Macaca fascicularis: one gene and its partner. The protein of the gene in region 2 purifies or fractionates together with the protein of the main gene of each other region. This does not show direct contact. Links are inferred from orthologs where the notes say so. Each region holds a gene or a part of one and is shown on either strand. Other genes may lie near its edges.

Region 1 (8,315 bases), on a different chromosome or scaffold from region 2:
ACTACAATCTTATATGAAGTGCCGGAACTAGATCTTGGCTTCCTGATCCATCACTCCTAGTTTAATATGTTAAAATATTATTTAAAAGGCTGGGCACAGAGGCTTACACCTGTAAACCCGGCACTTTGGGAGGCCAAGGCAGGCCGATCACAAGGTCAAGAGATCAAGACCATCCTGGCCAACATGGTGAAACCCCGGTCTCTACTAAAAATACAAAAATTAGCTGGACATGGTGGCATGCGCCTGTAGTCCCAGCTACTCAGGAGGCTGAGGCAGGAGAACCACTTGAACCCGGGAGGCAGAGGTTACAGTGGGCTGAGATTGTGCCACTGCACTCCAGCCTGGCGACAAAGCAAGACTCCATCTCAAAAACAAAGCAAAACAAACAAAAAAAAACAGTTGTGCTCCCTCTTTTATTATTGATCATTTTAAATATAATGCCAACAGTATTCCAAGATAAACTCTGAATCAAACCTAAAATTAAATCTAAAAGTAGCAACAGAATTCACTCAGAAAAAGAGAAAGAAAAAACTCAGTCTTGCCCAGGCGCAATGGCTTACGCCTATAATCCCAGCACTTTGGGAGGCCAATGCGGGCAGAACACCTGAGGTCAGGAGTTCGAGACCAGCCTGGCCAACATGGTGAAACCCCATCTCTGCTAAAAATACAAAGATTAGCTGGGTGTGATGGTGTGTGCCTGTAGTACCAGCTACCCAGGAGGCTGAGGCAGGAGAATTGCTCGAACCTGGGAGGCACAGGTTGCCGTGAGCTGAGATCGCACCACTGCACTCCAGCCTGACCGACAGAGGGAGACTCTGTCTCAAAAACAAAAAAACAAACCAAAAACACCCCTCAGTCTATTCTCTACATAGACTCCAAGGAAAGTGATTTTTCTTCCATAAATTACTTGTATTTAGACTTAAAGAACCTACCTCTAAAAATCACACACACACAAATAAAGGTTTAAAACTTTTGGCCAGGCAGGGTGGCTTATGCCTGTAATCCTAGCACTTTGGGAGGCCAGGTGGGCAGATCACTTGAGGTCAGGAGTTAAGACCAGTCTGCCAAACATGGCAAAACCCCATCTCTACTAGAAAAATACAAAAATTAGCCAGGCGTGGTGGTATGCACCTATAGTCCCAGCTACTTGGGATACTGAGGCAGAAGGATCACTTGAACCTGAGAAGCAGAGGCTGCAGTGAGCTGAGATCGTACCAGTACACTCCAGCCTGGGTGACAGAGCAAGATTTTGTCTAAAAAAAATTACAGGCTTATACCTGTAATTCCAGCACTTTGGGGGGCCGAGACAGGCAGATCACTCAAGGCCAGGAATTCGAAACCAGCCTGGCCAACATGGCAAAACCCTGTCTCTACTAAAGTACACAAATTAGCCAGGCGTGGTAGTGCAGGCTGTAATTTCAGCTACTAGGGAGGCTGAGGCAAGAGAACTGCTTGAACCCGGGGGCGGAGATTGCAGTGAGCCAAGACCATGCCACTGCACTCCAGCCTGGGCGACAAAGAGAGACTCTGTCTCAAAAAAAAAAAAAAAAGTTATAGGGGAAAATACCAAAATGTTTCTCATGAGTTCCCTATGATCAGAACGTCCAATCATCAGAATAGTGAGTGCACTGATCACACTGAATATGCACAAGTGTGTCCAACAACTTTATAATAACATTAAATCATTATTGTAATTAAGTGTAGGATTCCTACTAGTTTTCTTTTTTTTTTGAGATGGAGTCTTGCTCTGTTGCCCAGGTTGGAGTGCAGGGGTGCGATCTCGGCTCACTGCAAACGCCGCCTCCCGGGTTCACAGCATTCTCCTGCCTCAGCCTCCCAAGTAGCTGGGACTACAGGCATCTGCCACCACGTCCGGCTAATTTTTTGTATTTTTAGTAGAGACGGGGTTTCACCGTGTTAGCCAGGAAGGTCTCAATCGCCTGACCTCATGATTCGCCCACCTCGGCCTCCCAAAGTGCTGAGATTACAGGTGTGAGCTACTGCGCCTGGCCCCTACTAGTTTTCTTAAAGACAAAAATCTTTATAGGGAATCACTGATGTGATCATCAATGGCCCCCACTTCATATTAGAAAGCCAAGTTTATTAGCAACAGAAGCTGTATATATTCATTTATTTACTTATTTACTGAGACGGGGTCTCACTGTCACCTAGGCTGGAATGCAGTGGCAGGATCACAGCTCACTACAGCTTCAACCTCCCAGGCTCAAGCAATCTTCCCACCACAGCCTCCCAAGTATCTGGGACCACCGGTGCATGCCACCATGCCCAGGTAATTTTTTTATTTTTTGTAGAGACAGGGTCTCGCTATGTTGCCCAGGCTGGTCATGAACTCCTGGGCTCAAGTTATCCACCACACCCAGCCAGAAACAACATTAAACCAAATTTTTTTTAGTTTTAAACCAATGCTTTTTCCCCAAAACACTTTTTCAAAGTATTAAAACATGATGAAAAATGTCTAAATCATCTCTAAATCCTAGAGGTTAATGCAAAATATGCATTTCAAAACTAAACTGAGTTAAAAGTGAAATATCCTTAACTTGCATTAAAAACATGAGATTCTGTGCAAATCAAAATCCTGCAAAGCTTTAGTCAAACAGAAACATCAAGTACTTGAGTGACAACAGGTTTAATCCTTTAATCATCGAATCCCTAATTTTTACATGAAAAATTCTTTTTTTATAGGCAGCAAACAAGAGGACATCATTCTTATAAAATATATACATATATAGGCTGGGTGCAGTGGCTCACACCTGTAATCCCAGCTCTTTGGGAGGCTGAGGCGGTTGGATCACCTGAGATAGGGAGTTCGAGACCAGCCTGACCAACATGGAGAAACCCCATCTCTACTAAAAAATACAAAATTAGCCGGGCATGGTGGCGCATGCCTGTAATCCCAGCTACTCGGGAGGCTGAGGCAGGAGAATCGCTTGAACCCGGGAGGTAGAGGTCGTGGTAAGCCATTGCACTCCAGCCTAGGCAACAAGAGCGAAACTCCATCTCAAAAAAATGTTTTAAAAAAGAGATTTATATGTATATATACATAAATACACACACACACACACACACACACACACACCCCTTAGTTAGGATCTATCACCAACAATTTCATCTGATTAAAGAATAGTATATACATACTCCTAGCAACAAAATCCATCTCAACAACTTTTCTTAATTCACATAACGAGTTCCTGAATTTACTACCGTCCTGTACAAAATTTTCCCTTCCCCCATAAGAGATTATCACAGTGATTTAAGTTCCTTTGAACAGTCTAAATTTTGTTAGTTTGTTGTTACTCCCTCAGGTCCTCTCTCTTTTTCAAGTCATTAAATCATCAAAACCTTGACTGTAAAAATAACATCTGTGAAACCCAAAAACAAATTCTCAAAAATCGAGCCATTTACCTCTTCTTTGTTTTCTGACAAAGTTAAGTCAATATAGACAGGTTCATCGGTAACTGTAAATGACATCACTGCACTCTTTTCTTTGTTTTCTGATCGGACCTGCCTAGATAACAAAACCAGCAATTAGATCGCAAGACAGATTTAATTTTTTTTTTCTAAAAAGGCAAACACCTAAGGGGGCAGGGAGATCGGCACATGAAATTCCCAATAGCTTTGTCATCTTTTGAAAACTGGTAAAGTGACTAAAGATCAAAACAAGGGAAACATCCATGTCACTACCATATAACATGGTTGCTTGAGAAAAGAGAAAGCAATAATGCATTTGTAGCAGATTTAAACAAGAGTAACATTCTGTTCTTTTCTATTGATCTGTTTGTCTACCTTGATACTAACACCACACTATCATGATTAATGCCACTTGATAACAGGTCTTGAAATCAATCTTAGTCCTCCAATGTTTTTCTTCTTTTTCAAAATGATTTTGCCTATTGTCATTTGTATTTCCATTTGAATTTTAGAATCAGTTTGTCAATTTCTCAAACAAAAAAGCCTGCTAAGATTTTGAATGGGTCTGCACTGAATCTGTAGGTCAATTTGGGGAGATTTAACATGATAATGGTATTGAGTAAAGAGCACAGAAACAGACCTATATATACACACGTATACAATTGATTGTCACTATTCATGGATTCCTTATTTGCAAACTCATCTTTTGCAAAATTTTATTTGTAACCTCAAAATCACTGTGACAATTTTATGCTCCTTCAGTCATGTAGACTAGTGAAAAATCGGAGTTGCCTAACACATTCAACGTCTTCAGCTAAGGTAGCTACCTTCTGCCTTCCCATTGCCGTTTTCATACTATCAACAAGTAGTTCAGCTAGTACCATGTTTTTTGCATTTCTGTGCTTTCTTGGAGATTTCACTATTTAAAATGGCCCCCAAGCATACTTCTGAAGTGTTCTATGGTGTTCCTAAGCACAAGAAGGCTGTGATGTGCCTTACAGTGAAAATATGTGTTACATAAGCTTCACTCAGACATGAGTTGTAGTGCTCTGAATTCCAAGTTAATCAATCAAAAACATATGCATTAAATATCTTTAAATAGAAACAAACATAAAACAAGGTTTTATATATTAATGACAAAAATGTTACAAGTTGGCTATCTTTACAATATAAATAATATAAACAAAAAATAAATAGATGACAAAAATGTTATAACTGGAGGCTCACGGGAACCTAATCTTCTATTTCCCAAAGGAGTAATGTTATTGCCTAAATCAGTGTTCATGGGGACTTTATAGGACTTAACAACTATAAATGAGAACTGATATAGGGATAAGAGTGTGGGTGCAGGGATGTGTGGGTGTGTGTAGATGTTCGGGGTTACAGGGGGAGGGGTATATGCAAAACCAAGTCAGCAGAGATAATCTTTTCAACAAATGATACTGGGATCCCTGGATATCCATAACGCAAAAACATGACTCTTAACATCATGAGCCATTAGAGAAAGCCAATTTAACAGCACAAAATACCACTACCCACCTATTAGAATGGCTAAAAGTAAATGCTATACCAAGTGTTGATGAGGATGTGAAGGAATTCCCATTTTCATACACTGCTGGTAAAAATGCAAAATGATACAACCATTTTGAAAAAAAATCTGGTGATGTCTTGAAAAGTTAAATGTACACCTATCATATGATCCAGCCACTGCACTCCTAGGTATTTACCCAAAAGAAATGAAATCACATGTCCATATAAAGACTTGTACACAAAAAATGTCCATAGCAACTTTATTTGTAATGGCCCAAAACCTGTCAACAAGTCTGGAAACTGAGAGGTTACAAGAAGACATGAAGACACGCATTCAACATCTTGTTTGTGGTGAGAGTTTCACAATGTATATGTATGTTACAATTCATCAGTTTGTACATTCTGGTATGTACAGTTCATTACATGTCAACTATACTTCAATATAGCTGTTTTTAAAATTTAGGTACACATTTTTAAAAATAATATATAACAAACATGATTTACAAACATGACTCAAACCAGCTTCTTTGGAGTCCAGAAGAAAATTAAGAGTTGATTTGATGAATTCTAAATGTTTTCATGCAAAAATTCTGAGTAAGATGCACTCTAACATGAAGTCATTCATGTATGTTCAAAATCTCTGCCATCAGACCACTATACACAGTATCTTAACTAATCAATAGAAGATAGTACTGGGGTTGATCTTTTAATCTTCGCTCAGCAAGAAGCCTTTGCATGTTATGTCCTCACAGAAATGTGTCTTTCAAAGGAAATTATCAGGGAACTTTAGGCCTGCTCTACCTATCCCCACGCAAATTTACAGAGCTCGTTGGGCAGCTTTTCAATATGGTTTTTAATATTTTTCTTTTGTGTGTATGGTTAATTTTAAGTTTATTTCCTTTATACCAAGATACTATTCAGGTTCTTAAGATTAACATAAAGCAACTTTTATTTTATATTATGAAATTTTGTAGCTGGAGACTCCTACGTATGAGGCAGCCTAAGTGGTAAAACATTTGAGATTGTGCAACTCAGTAATGCCAGGGAATGCTGGTAGTAGATTTTAATTTTTTAGTACCACTAATTTCTTATGTAATTGTCAGACCCTCTAAAACTAAAAGAATTTATCTCCATTGGCTCTTCTCAAAAATCAAACACGAAACAGAAAACCAAATCTGTTTAATTATAAGAGTCATAATTAGGAATTATGGCTTTGCTGGTGGTTTTGAAGGTAAACAGAGGCCCACATTTTGACTTATGACCCCCACACAACTACCTTTTTAAGGAATACATATTGGATGAGTCCCACTTCTAATGAGTATTATCTTGTATAAATTCATAGTAATTCTACATGGTGAAGAGCATGCTCAATTAATTATTACTAAGATGAGAAAAGTAGAGATCTAAAAAGATCTCTAATCTCTACTTATTTTGTCTATGAACAGCAGGATGGTTTTTTTTCAAGCCAACTTCACCATCAGATGCTGTAATAAAATCCAGGAAATTTCTAAAAAATTTTTTTGATGACTTTGTATCACTGATTTTTTTTTTTTTTTTTTTTTTGAGACCGAGTCTCTTTCTGTCGCTAGAGTGCAGTGGCGCGATCTCGGCTCACTGCAACCTCTACCTCCTGAGTTAAGCAATTCTCCTGCCTCAGCCTTCCGAGTAGCTGGGACTACAGGTGCGTGCCACCACGCCCAGCTAATTTTTGTATTTTTAGTACAGAGAGGGTTTCGCCATGTTGGCCAGGATGGTCTTGATCTCTTGACCTCGTGATCTGCCCGCCTCGTCCTCCCAATGTGCTGGGATGACAGGCGTAAGCCATGGCGCCCGGCCCGATTTTAACTTTTAAAAGTGGTTTCAAAGGGAACTAGTTAATAGCAGCTACTGCAAAAAGGGGTTACTGGAAATTCTCAGACAGCCAAGGAATTTGTATGCCCTCCATAAACAGACATTACTGCATTAACCCAGTGGTGCCACATATTTCAAAATTAAAGGTCTTTCTAAATTTTTTAAAAGTTATTTCTAAACTGCCCAACCACAAAACTATTCAGTCCACTGTATCACTAAACAAGCACAGGAGGCTTTATTACATAATGCACTTAATTTTTTTCTCAGAAAGATCTGTTTTGTAGACAGGCTCAATTCTTTATTATGACTCAATGTAAATCCAGTATTAGATACAACAAAGTCCCACAGTCATAATTTACATTAACTACATAAGCTCTGACAGATTCTTTCAATGCTACCTCCCAAATCCAAAAGAACTACATACCAGACATTAAGCAACCGGTCATGTACTGCTCCAGATAAGAAATAAAGACCTGTAATTCCATCAAAGGGCTGGCTCTCGTTAGGAGGTCTGATGGTAGTGAACATCAGTGACGAAACTGGCGTTGCATGTCCTGTGAAATGCTAGAGAAAGTTAAATCCCAGTTAGGAGAGCAGATTCAAAGCAGGGACAAAAATTATTAGTATATATGTATCATAAACAAGCCATATGTGATACATATCTGAAAGGAGAGCTTCACAATGAAGTAACTATTAAATTCAATTCTAAGCAAATAAGGTTATTTGTGCTACAATACTCCCACTTCTTAAAAAAATGCATCTGAAAATACTGAAAATTTAGATGTTCCTTCTAACTCCCATGACCCTACCACTCTGCACCTTTATTTCTTACATTCTTGAATTAAAGATTCACTTAATTCTATCCATTTTAAAAGGCGTACACTTAGGTGCTCAGACACAGCCAAGGAATTGTAGGTCCTCATTTTACTCTCAGTGAGTCGAAACCACAATATTAAGGCATCATCACAGCACCAAATGTTCAGTAAGCCCTGAGTGAAAGCTTTTTCCTCCTCCAAAAATGTAATACTAAATCTCCGCAGTCAAATACAGTAAGTAGACTAAATGCTGAATGTAGGCTAGAAATCAAAATTACCATAATCATCACATAGTAAAAAATTTTTTATTAAGAAAATCTTTTTTGAGCTAGGCATGGTGGCAAGTGCCTATATTCCCAGCTGCTCAGGAGGCTGAGGTGGGATGATCGCTTGAGCCTGGGAGGTCAAGGCTGCAGTGAGCTGTGATGGCGTTACTGCACTCCAGCCTGGGCGACAGAGAGAGATCCTGTCTCAAAATCTATTTTGTTTTTTATAAGGTAACTTTTTCTTTTTTGTGGATACACAGTTGGTATATATATTTAAATTTCTTTTAAAATCTTGTTTCTTGAATATTGGTTCTATTCATTTTTCCAATACATTTGAAGTAGACATGTGTAGTCTTTTTAACATCAACAAATCAGATTAGGAGGCTAACTTTTGTCCACTAAACTATTTGATGTACCTCACAAT
Region 2 (8,315 bases):
CTTCACATAACGAGGTGCACTGGGACATGACGCCTCAAGCTCTTGCCACTCTGGACATATCCACAGATATCTATACATAATCTCGATCCTCGTGTGGTCTGCGTTACTATGATGATTTCAGAGGCAGAGTACCTAAAAGGCGTGGCTTTGATTTCCAAATCCAAGAATGGAGGTCTATTCTTATTTTGGCCTTTTGAATACTTCATAGATAGCCTCATACTATACCCCAACTTCAGAAACCTGAGCAGGGAGGCATTTACTGAAGGAAAGCTCAGGAGGATAGGTGGTTTGAAGTACTTATTTTCTGTTTTGTCTACAACGTTCTGCTTTAAAGACTTCTAAGAAATAGCAAATGAAAAACATTTGGAAGCCAGGTCCGGTGAGTCGTGCCTGTAATCCCAGCACTTTGGGAGGCAGAGGTGGAGGACTGCTTGAGCCCAGGAGTTCAAGATCTGTCTGGGCAACATGGTAAAACCCTGGATCTACAAAAAATTAGCCGGGCATGGTGGTGCACACCTGTAGTCCCAGCTACCCGGGAGGGTGAAGTGGGAGGATCACCTGAGCCTGGGAGGTTGAGGCTGCAGTGAGTCGTGATGGTGCCACTGCTCTCCAGCCTGGAAAACACACTGAGACCCTGCCTCAAAAAGTAAGCAAACAAACAAAAAACCAACCAACTAAACAAACAAAAAAGAATCTGGAGAATAAAGAAAAGTTGAAAGTAACATTTATGTAATTTTTAAAAACTCACAAAACAAAATGTTTTTTTTCATTGTATACGCTTTTGTACTATTTGAGTTTTTAAAAATATGCACATGGCCAGGCGTAGTGGCTCATGCCTGTAATCCCAGCACTTTGGGAGGCCAAGGCGAGCGCATCACCTGCGATCGGGAGTTCAAGACCAGCCTGACCAACCCCGTCTTTACTAAAAATACAAAAAATTAGCTGGGCGTGGTGGCGCATGCCTGTAATCCCAGCTACTCAGGAGGCTGAACCAGGAGAATTGCTTGAACTCAGGAGGTGGAGGTTTCGGTGAGCCGAGATGGCGCCATTGCACTCCAGCCTGGGCAACAAGAGCGAAACTCTGTCTCAAAAACAAATGAATAAATAAATAAATGCACATTATTTTCATAATAATATCAAAAGAAGAGAAACCTATTTCCTGTATACATCCATCTAATAAATCCTCAATGTCCTACTTATAATCACGGGAAACCCAGTCCTGGTGACATAGTCCTTCATTCAAATAGTTTTAGAATTTATACAATTTGTGGTGTAAACTAACCTCAAAATTCAGAATGGGAAAAACGTTCTAGATTTCAGAGCCTAAACAAACTTCCTTACCTTTGTCTTCAGGTGCAGTAAATGATCTGCATTTTTAGAGAGTGGAAGAGTATCCCCATTCTTGCCTGAAACAAGAAACTTCCCTGAGATTTCTCTTATGAAAGAGAATTTGTACATTTTTTTTCTTCTAAAAAGTCACTCCCTGGAAGAATGGAATCTCTATCCGGGAGAAATCAGAAAAATGTAAGCTCACAACTTTTGAGGTGTATATGAAGAGGAAAACAGTGAGTACTTCCTTTGCTTCTACCTCTGATACATCACTAATTCCCTGAAGCTCTATTCCATAGCCAGGCACGCAGGTGGAGTCTGTGTGGCCTCAATTTTAATCCACTGCAAAAGAGAGGACTCACACATTTCCTTAATAGGTCACACAAAAAGGCCACTAGGCTGTCACTCCAATAAGATCCATGTGATCTTCTTTTTCGTACAAGATCATCATTACCCATCATTAAATCTTGTTATTTTCCAACAGCCTGTTTTCTTCTCAGTTACTACACCCTGCAGCGCACCACCACAAGCCATAAACCTTTAAGAGATGATTCAATATCCTACTAAAGATTCTAATACTCTAAATAACTTATTTGCTTTATCTAATGGGTGGGTAAACCATTAGTTAAAATGGACATAAAAGTCTACTTCAGTTTTTCTATAAGCAGAATTCCAACCACAATTCTGATTTCTGGCTTCTCTCTCCAGTTTTCTTATTGAAAAAAACGTGCTCTCATTTTACCTGTTGCAACTGTGGATCCCAGTCGCCAAAGTTCCAAGTGATGAGCAAACTGGAAGAGGAGAAGCTGCCTCTTTTTAGAACAGGAAATGAGACGTCGCTATATCCAAGAATCAAAAAGTTAAAAAATAAGTCAGGGTTATCTACTGCCTCAGTACCAGATACAGCAGCACCACCTTAGCACACTTTTTACTGCTGAAATCCATTTCCTTGACAAATATTTCCTAAGTACTCCCATATACCAGGCACTGCCCTGGGATCTATGAACACAATGATGAATTAAAACATAGCTACTGCTCTCAAGATGCTTCTAAAGGGGTGACACAGAACTAAATCAGCAATAAGACTTTAGTGTGACAAGAATTTTAACACGGCTAAACACAGTATGTACTGAAAACTAAGGAAAGAGGACTTCTAACCTAGACGTGTGGTGGTACACAGAAGTCCAGATGAGGTTCACTGGGAAAGACCAGTCAGGCGAAGGAGGCAGGGCGGAATGCTCTGAGGAGGGCGATGGCATGTGACATAGCTCAAAGGTAAGAGTATTTGCGGGAACAAAAAGACCTTGAGAGTGGCTAGCCTGGGTGGAGGTGCTACAAGCATGAGAGGTGCTACAGGAAGCTAAAGGGCCAGGCCTGGATGGAGACAGGTTCTATAAGACACACTAAGGAAACTGTCTTTATGCTGAAGCCAACAGGGATAATCAAAGGCTTTGAAGCATGCAGCAATGAACAAAGTTGCTTTAAAACAGATCAATGGGCCTGGAGCAGTGGCTCATGCCTGTAATCCCAGCACTTAGGAGGCTGAGGTGGGAGGATTGCTTGATACCAGGAGTTTGAGATCGGCCTGGGCAAGATAGTGAGATCTTGTCTCTATTAAAAATAAATAAAAAATAAAAAAATTAGCCGAGGCTGGGCGCAGTAGCTCACGTCTCTAATCCCAGCACTTTGGGAGGCCGAGGCTGGTGGATCACCTGAAGTCAGGAGTTCGAAACCAGCGGGGCCAACATGGTGAAACGCCGTCTCCACTAAAAATACAACAATTAGCCGGGCGTGGTGGCAGATGCCTGTAATCCCAGCTACTAGGGAGGCTGAAGCAGGAGAATCGCTTGAACCCAGGAGACCGAGGTTGCAGAGAGCCGAGATCACACCACTACACTCCAGCCTGGGCAACAAGGGCAAAGCTCCGTCTCAAAAAAAAAAAAAAAAGAAAAAGAAAAAAAGAAATTAGCTGAGCGTGGTGGCGGATGCCTGTGGTTCCAGCGACTCAGGAGGCTGAGGTGGGAAGACTGCTTGAGCTCAGGAAGCAGAGGTTACAGTGAGCCAAGATCACACCACTGCAATCCAGCCTGGGTGATGGAGCAAGACCTTGTCTCAAAAAAACAAAGACAAATAAAATAAAATAAAATAAAATAAGATCAATGAAGAATAGGCTAGAACGACACAAATGGAAATAAAAGGACATGATTAAGAAGCTACTGTAAAGGAACCCAGATGAGAAAAGACATTGATCCAAACTAGGATGATGCCAGCACAGACAAAGAGAAATGAATGACTCGATTCAAGAGATTATGAGGACTATGTTCAACTTTATCAAACTATATGCATTAAATATGTATGGTTTTTTTTTGTTTTTTTTTTTGTTTTTTTTTTGAGACGGAGTCTCGCTCTGTCACCCAGGCTGGAGTGCAGTGGCCGGATCTCAGCTCACTGCAAGCTCCGCCTCCCGGGTTCACGCCATTCTCCTGCCTCAGCCTCCCGAGTAGCTGGGACTACAGGCGCCCGCCACCTCGCCCAGCTAGCTTTTTGTATTTTTTTAGTAGAGACGGGGTTTCACCGTGTTAGCCAGGATGGTCTCGATCTCCTGACCTCGTGATCCGCCCGTCTCGGCCTCCCAAAGTGCTGGGATTACAGGCTTGAGCCACCGTGCCCAGCCAATATGTATGGTTTTTAATATATCAAATATGCCTCAATAGAGCTGTTGATCGACCGATCGATCAATCGATCTATCTCTACAACATATGTATAAAGATACTCATGAGTAGACTCAATGAGGTTTACTGGTTGAATGAATGGGGCAGCAGGTGTGGGGAGCAAGTTCTCTAGCTTGGGAAGATGGTACCATTTACCTAGAACACTGGAAGCCTGGGTTTTCCTGCTCCCACCCAGAATAGAGCCTACTCTGAAAGACAAACTAACAAAATTCCACAACTAATTGGAAAAGGGAAAAATTCCCCCAGAAACTGAACTAGGTGTGCTGCTGCATATCTCCTACCCCCCATAAATGTCTTTGCAGTGGCTTGCCTCAAAAACAGAAGGAATGAAGAAGGAGCTACAGAAAGTCCTACAATATCTCCATGTCCCAGATGGTTAAAAAAAAAAGGGGGGCTGGGTATGGTGGCTCACGCCTGTAATCCCAGCACTTTGGGAGGCCAAGGTGGCAGTATCACAAGGTCGGGAGATCAAGACCATCATCCCAGCTAACACAGTGAAACCCTGTCTCTACTAAGAATACAAAAAATTAGCCGGGTGTGGTGGTGGCAGGCACCTGTAGTCTCAGCTACTTGGAAGGCCGAGGCAGGAGAATGGCGTGAACCTGGGAGGCGGAGCTTGGAGTGGAGTTGCACCACTGCACTCCAGCCTGGGTGACAGAGTGAGCCTCCGTCTCAAAAAAAAAAAAAAGGCCTACAAGACTGAGCGTGGTGGCTCATGCCTATAATCCCAGCACTTTGGGAGGCCGAGGCAAGCAGATTACCTGAGGTTGGGAGTTCCGAGACCAGCCTGACCAACATGGAGAAACCCAGTCTCTACTAAAGATACAAAATTAGCCAAGTGCGGTGGCACATGCCTGTAATCCCAGCTACTCGGGAGACTGAGGCAGGAGAATCGCTTGAACCCGGGAGGCGGAGGTTGCGGTGAGCCAAGATCACGCCACTGCACTCCAGTCTGGGCAACAAGAACAAAATTCTGTCTCAAAAAAAAAAAAAAAGTCCTACAAATTTGCCAAGCGTGAGCTGTGTTCAGAGCCTTGTGGGACAGGGGGACAAAGGGATGGGGAGATGAGGGGTTGGCAGGGGCTTGGAATGGACACTTACATGGGGAAAGGTGATTTTTCGGAGAGCGGCATCGTAATTCTTTACCTCCACCTTCTCCATGAGAGGACGAATGACTAAGTGGGTGTCAGTGCCTGGTAAAGCAGGGGAGAAGGTGTACAGAATTAGAAGTCGTCCTGCACGAGAACAGCCAGAGCTGGGCAGGGTAAAGCAGCAGCCTCGCCAGGAGGGGAACCCACCTCCAGATATCAGCGCTGTTGGGCTGTGGGCCACAGTGCGCACGTCGTGAGTGTGATGCTGGAACGGTTTTGTCCGCACCCACTGCTTCTCACTGCTGTTAGATGTCACAGGGACCAGCTGAAAATGGAAGACTGTTCCCTCGGCTGTGCCCACCACAAAACTGTCTTCTTGCTGAGGAATTAAATCATGAAGGAGGTACATGTAAGCAAAACAAGGTCTGGTTGGAAAAATATTCCCTGAGGTTTTCTGTCTCAGCAGCTTAGGCGTAAACCTATGCCCAGAATCAGTAGGAAAGTTATAAGGGTCTTTTCCCTCCAGAAGCTAAGGATTCCATCAGAGGAGCAAGCTCAGACACTGGTAACAATGCGCCCCCTACTGACAAAATTAACAACGTCTAGAGTAGGAACAACACAGCAATGCTTCATATATACAACACAGATCTCCTTAGAATAGCACTGAGAGATAAAATACCTAGAACCTATTTGAGAAATTTAAATCCTTCCAAAGATCATAAGAGAAAACCTAAACAAAGAAATCCATAGCATGTTATTTAGTAGGAATATTTAACATGATCAAGTTATTATCACTAAAGAAACGTATTAAACCAATAAAAATACTGACAATCCTTTATTTAGAACTAGAACAGGTGTTTCTTAATAATGTTTATTTCATTAAAAATATCCAAGAAACATCAGTCAGACGTGGTGGCTCACTCTTGTAATCCCAGCACTTTGGGAAGCTGAGTTGGGTGGATCACTTGAGGCCAGGAGTTTGCGACCAGCCTGGCCAACACAGTGAACCCTGTCGCTACTAAAAATACAAAAATTAGCTGGGAGTGGTGGCGCATGCCTGTAATCCCAACTACTTGGACGGCTGAGGCACAAGAATCACTTGAACCTGGGAGGCAGAGGTTGCAGTATGCCAAGATCGCACCACAGCACTCCAGATTGGGCGACAGAGCAAGACTCTGGCTCAAAAAAAAAAAAAAACAAAAACCAAACAAAAAAAAAAAATACAAGAAACACCAATAAGAAAGTTTCTTAAATAAACAAGGTGGGCAGAGCAGCACAAACCTATAGTCCCAGCTACTCAGGAGACTGGGCAGGAGGATCACTTGAGCCCAGAAGTTGGAGACCAGTCTGCACAACACAGTGAGATCTCATCTTTATTTTTTATTTTTATTTCTTGAGACAGAGTCTCCCTCTGTCACCCAGGCTGGAATGCACTGGCATGATCCCGGCTCACTGCAACCTCTGCCTTCTCAGGTTCAAGAGATTCTCCCACCTCGGCTTCCCAAGTAGCTGGGATTACAGGCACACACCACCACATCTGGTTAATTTTTGTTTTTGTTTTTTTTGAGACGGAGTTTCACTCTTGTCGCCCAGGCTGGAGTGCAATGGCACAATCTCAGCTCACTGCAACCCCTGCCTCCTTGGTTCAAGCCATTCTCCTGCCTCAGCCTTCCAAGTAGCTGGGATTATAGGCATGTGCCACCATGCCTGGTTAATTTTTGTATTAGTAGAGACGAAGCTTCACCATATCATCCAGGCTGGTCTCAAATTCCTGACCTCAGGTGATGCACCCTCCTTGGCCTCCCAAAGTGCTGGGATTACAGGTGTGAGTCGCTGCGCACGGGCTTGCATTTTTTTTTTTTCAGTAGAGACACGGTTTCGCCATGTTGGCCAGGCTGGTCTCAAACTCCTGACCTCAGGTGATTCGCCCACCTCAGCCTCCCAAAGTCTCATTTTTAAAAAGAATGAAAGAAATAAACAAGAAAAAAACAAAACAAAACAAAAAAACATAACTCACAACACAAACAAAAAACCCAAACAAGAGTAGTAATGTGGCTGGACATGATGGCTCACATCTATAATCCCGCACTTTCAAAGGCAAGAGAATCACTTCAGCCCAGGAATTTGAGACCAATCTGGGCAACACAGTGACACTGCATCTCTACAAAAAACGTTAAAAACTTAGCCTGGTGGTGCATGCCTGTAGTCCCAGCCACTTGGGAGGCTGAGGTAGGAGGACTGCTTGAGCCTAGGAGGCGGAGGCTGCAGTGAGCTAGGATTATACCATTACACTCCACCTAGGTGACAGAGCAAGACCTTGCCTCAAAAAAAAAAAAAAAAAAAAAGTAACGAAGATACACATCCAAAAGACCTGAAGGCAGGAACTCAAACAGCTTTGCAAATACAGACTGAAGATTCCTAATCCAGGGCCGGGCACCTTGGGAGGCTGAGAAGGTGGATCACTTGAGGTCAGGGGTTAGAGACCAGCCTGGCCAACATGATGAAACACAGTCTCTACTAAAAATACAAAAATTAGGCCGGGCACGGTGGCTCATGCCTGTAATCCCAGCACTTTGGGAGGCCGAGGCGGGCAGATCACGAGGTCAGGAGATCAGGACCATCCTGATTAACACGGTGAAACACCATCTCTACTGAAAAAAAAATACAAATAATTAGCCGGGCGCGGTGACGGGCGCCTGTAGTCCCGGCTACTAGGGAGGCTGAGGCAGGAGAATGGTGTGAACCCGGGAGGCAGAGCTTGCAGACAGTGGAGATTGCGCCACTGCATTCCAGCCTGGGCAATAGAGCAAGACTCTGTCTCAAAAAAAACAAAAAAACAAAAATTAGACAGGCGTGGTGGCATGAGCCTGTAGTCCCAGCTAAAAAAAAAAAAAAAAAAAAGGATTCCTAATCCAAAATCCTTTTTGAGTGCTAACATGACACCGCAAGTAGAAAACTTCACATCTGACCTCATCTGCTGGATCACAGTCAAAACTTTGTTTCACTCATAAAATGAATAAAATATTGTACAAAATTACCATCAGGCTACGTGTATCAGGTACATATGAAACATAAATGAATTTCTTGGATAGGCTGAGGTCCCACTCCCAAGATACCTCATTATGTATATGCAAATATTCCAAAATCCAAAAAAAATCCAAAA

The links.
Region 1: the proteins of UTP4 (region 2) and WDR43 purify together in Homo sapiens (co-immunoprecipitation; 5 studies listed by BioGRID and IntAct, counting the BioPlex papers as one, with this or other methods). This does not show direct contact. The link is inferred for Macaca fascicularis from reciprocal best matches to the Homo sapiens genes UTP4 and WDR43.

The regions. Positions count from the first base shown.
Region 1 is NC_088387.1:93,298,424-93,306,738, forward strand, and holds part of WDR43 (WD repeat-containing protein 43), read right to left. Parts: intron 7,783-8,315; exon of another isoform or gene 7,698-7,782; intron 7,375-7,697; coding exon 7,235-7,374; intron 3,527-7,234; coding exon 3,424-3,526; intron 1-3,423. UniProt on the Homo sapiens protein: Ribosome biogenesis factor that coordinates hyperactive transcription and ribogenesis. Part of the small subunit (SSU) processome, first precursor of the small eukaryotic ribosomal subunit.
Region 2 is NC_088394.1:65,252,093-65,260,407, reverse strand, and holds part of UTP4 (U3 small nucleolar RNA-associated protein 4 homolog), read right to left. Parts: intron 5,532-8,315; coding exon 5,360-5,531; intron 5,255-5,359; coding exon 5,163-5,254; intron 2,169-5,162; coding exon 2,072-2,168; intron 1,407-2,071; coding exon 1,342-1,406; intron 1-1,341. UniProt on the Homo sapiens protein: Ribosome biogenesis factor. Involved in nucleolar processing of pre-18S ribosomal RNA. Part of the small subunit (SSU) processome, first precursor of the small eukaryotic ribosomal subunit.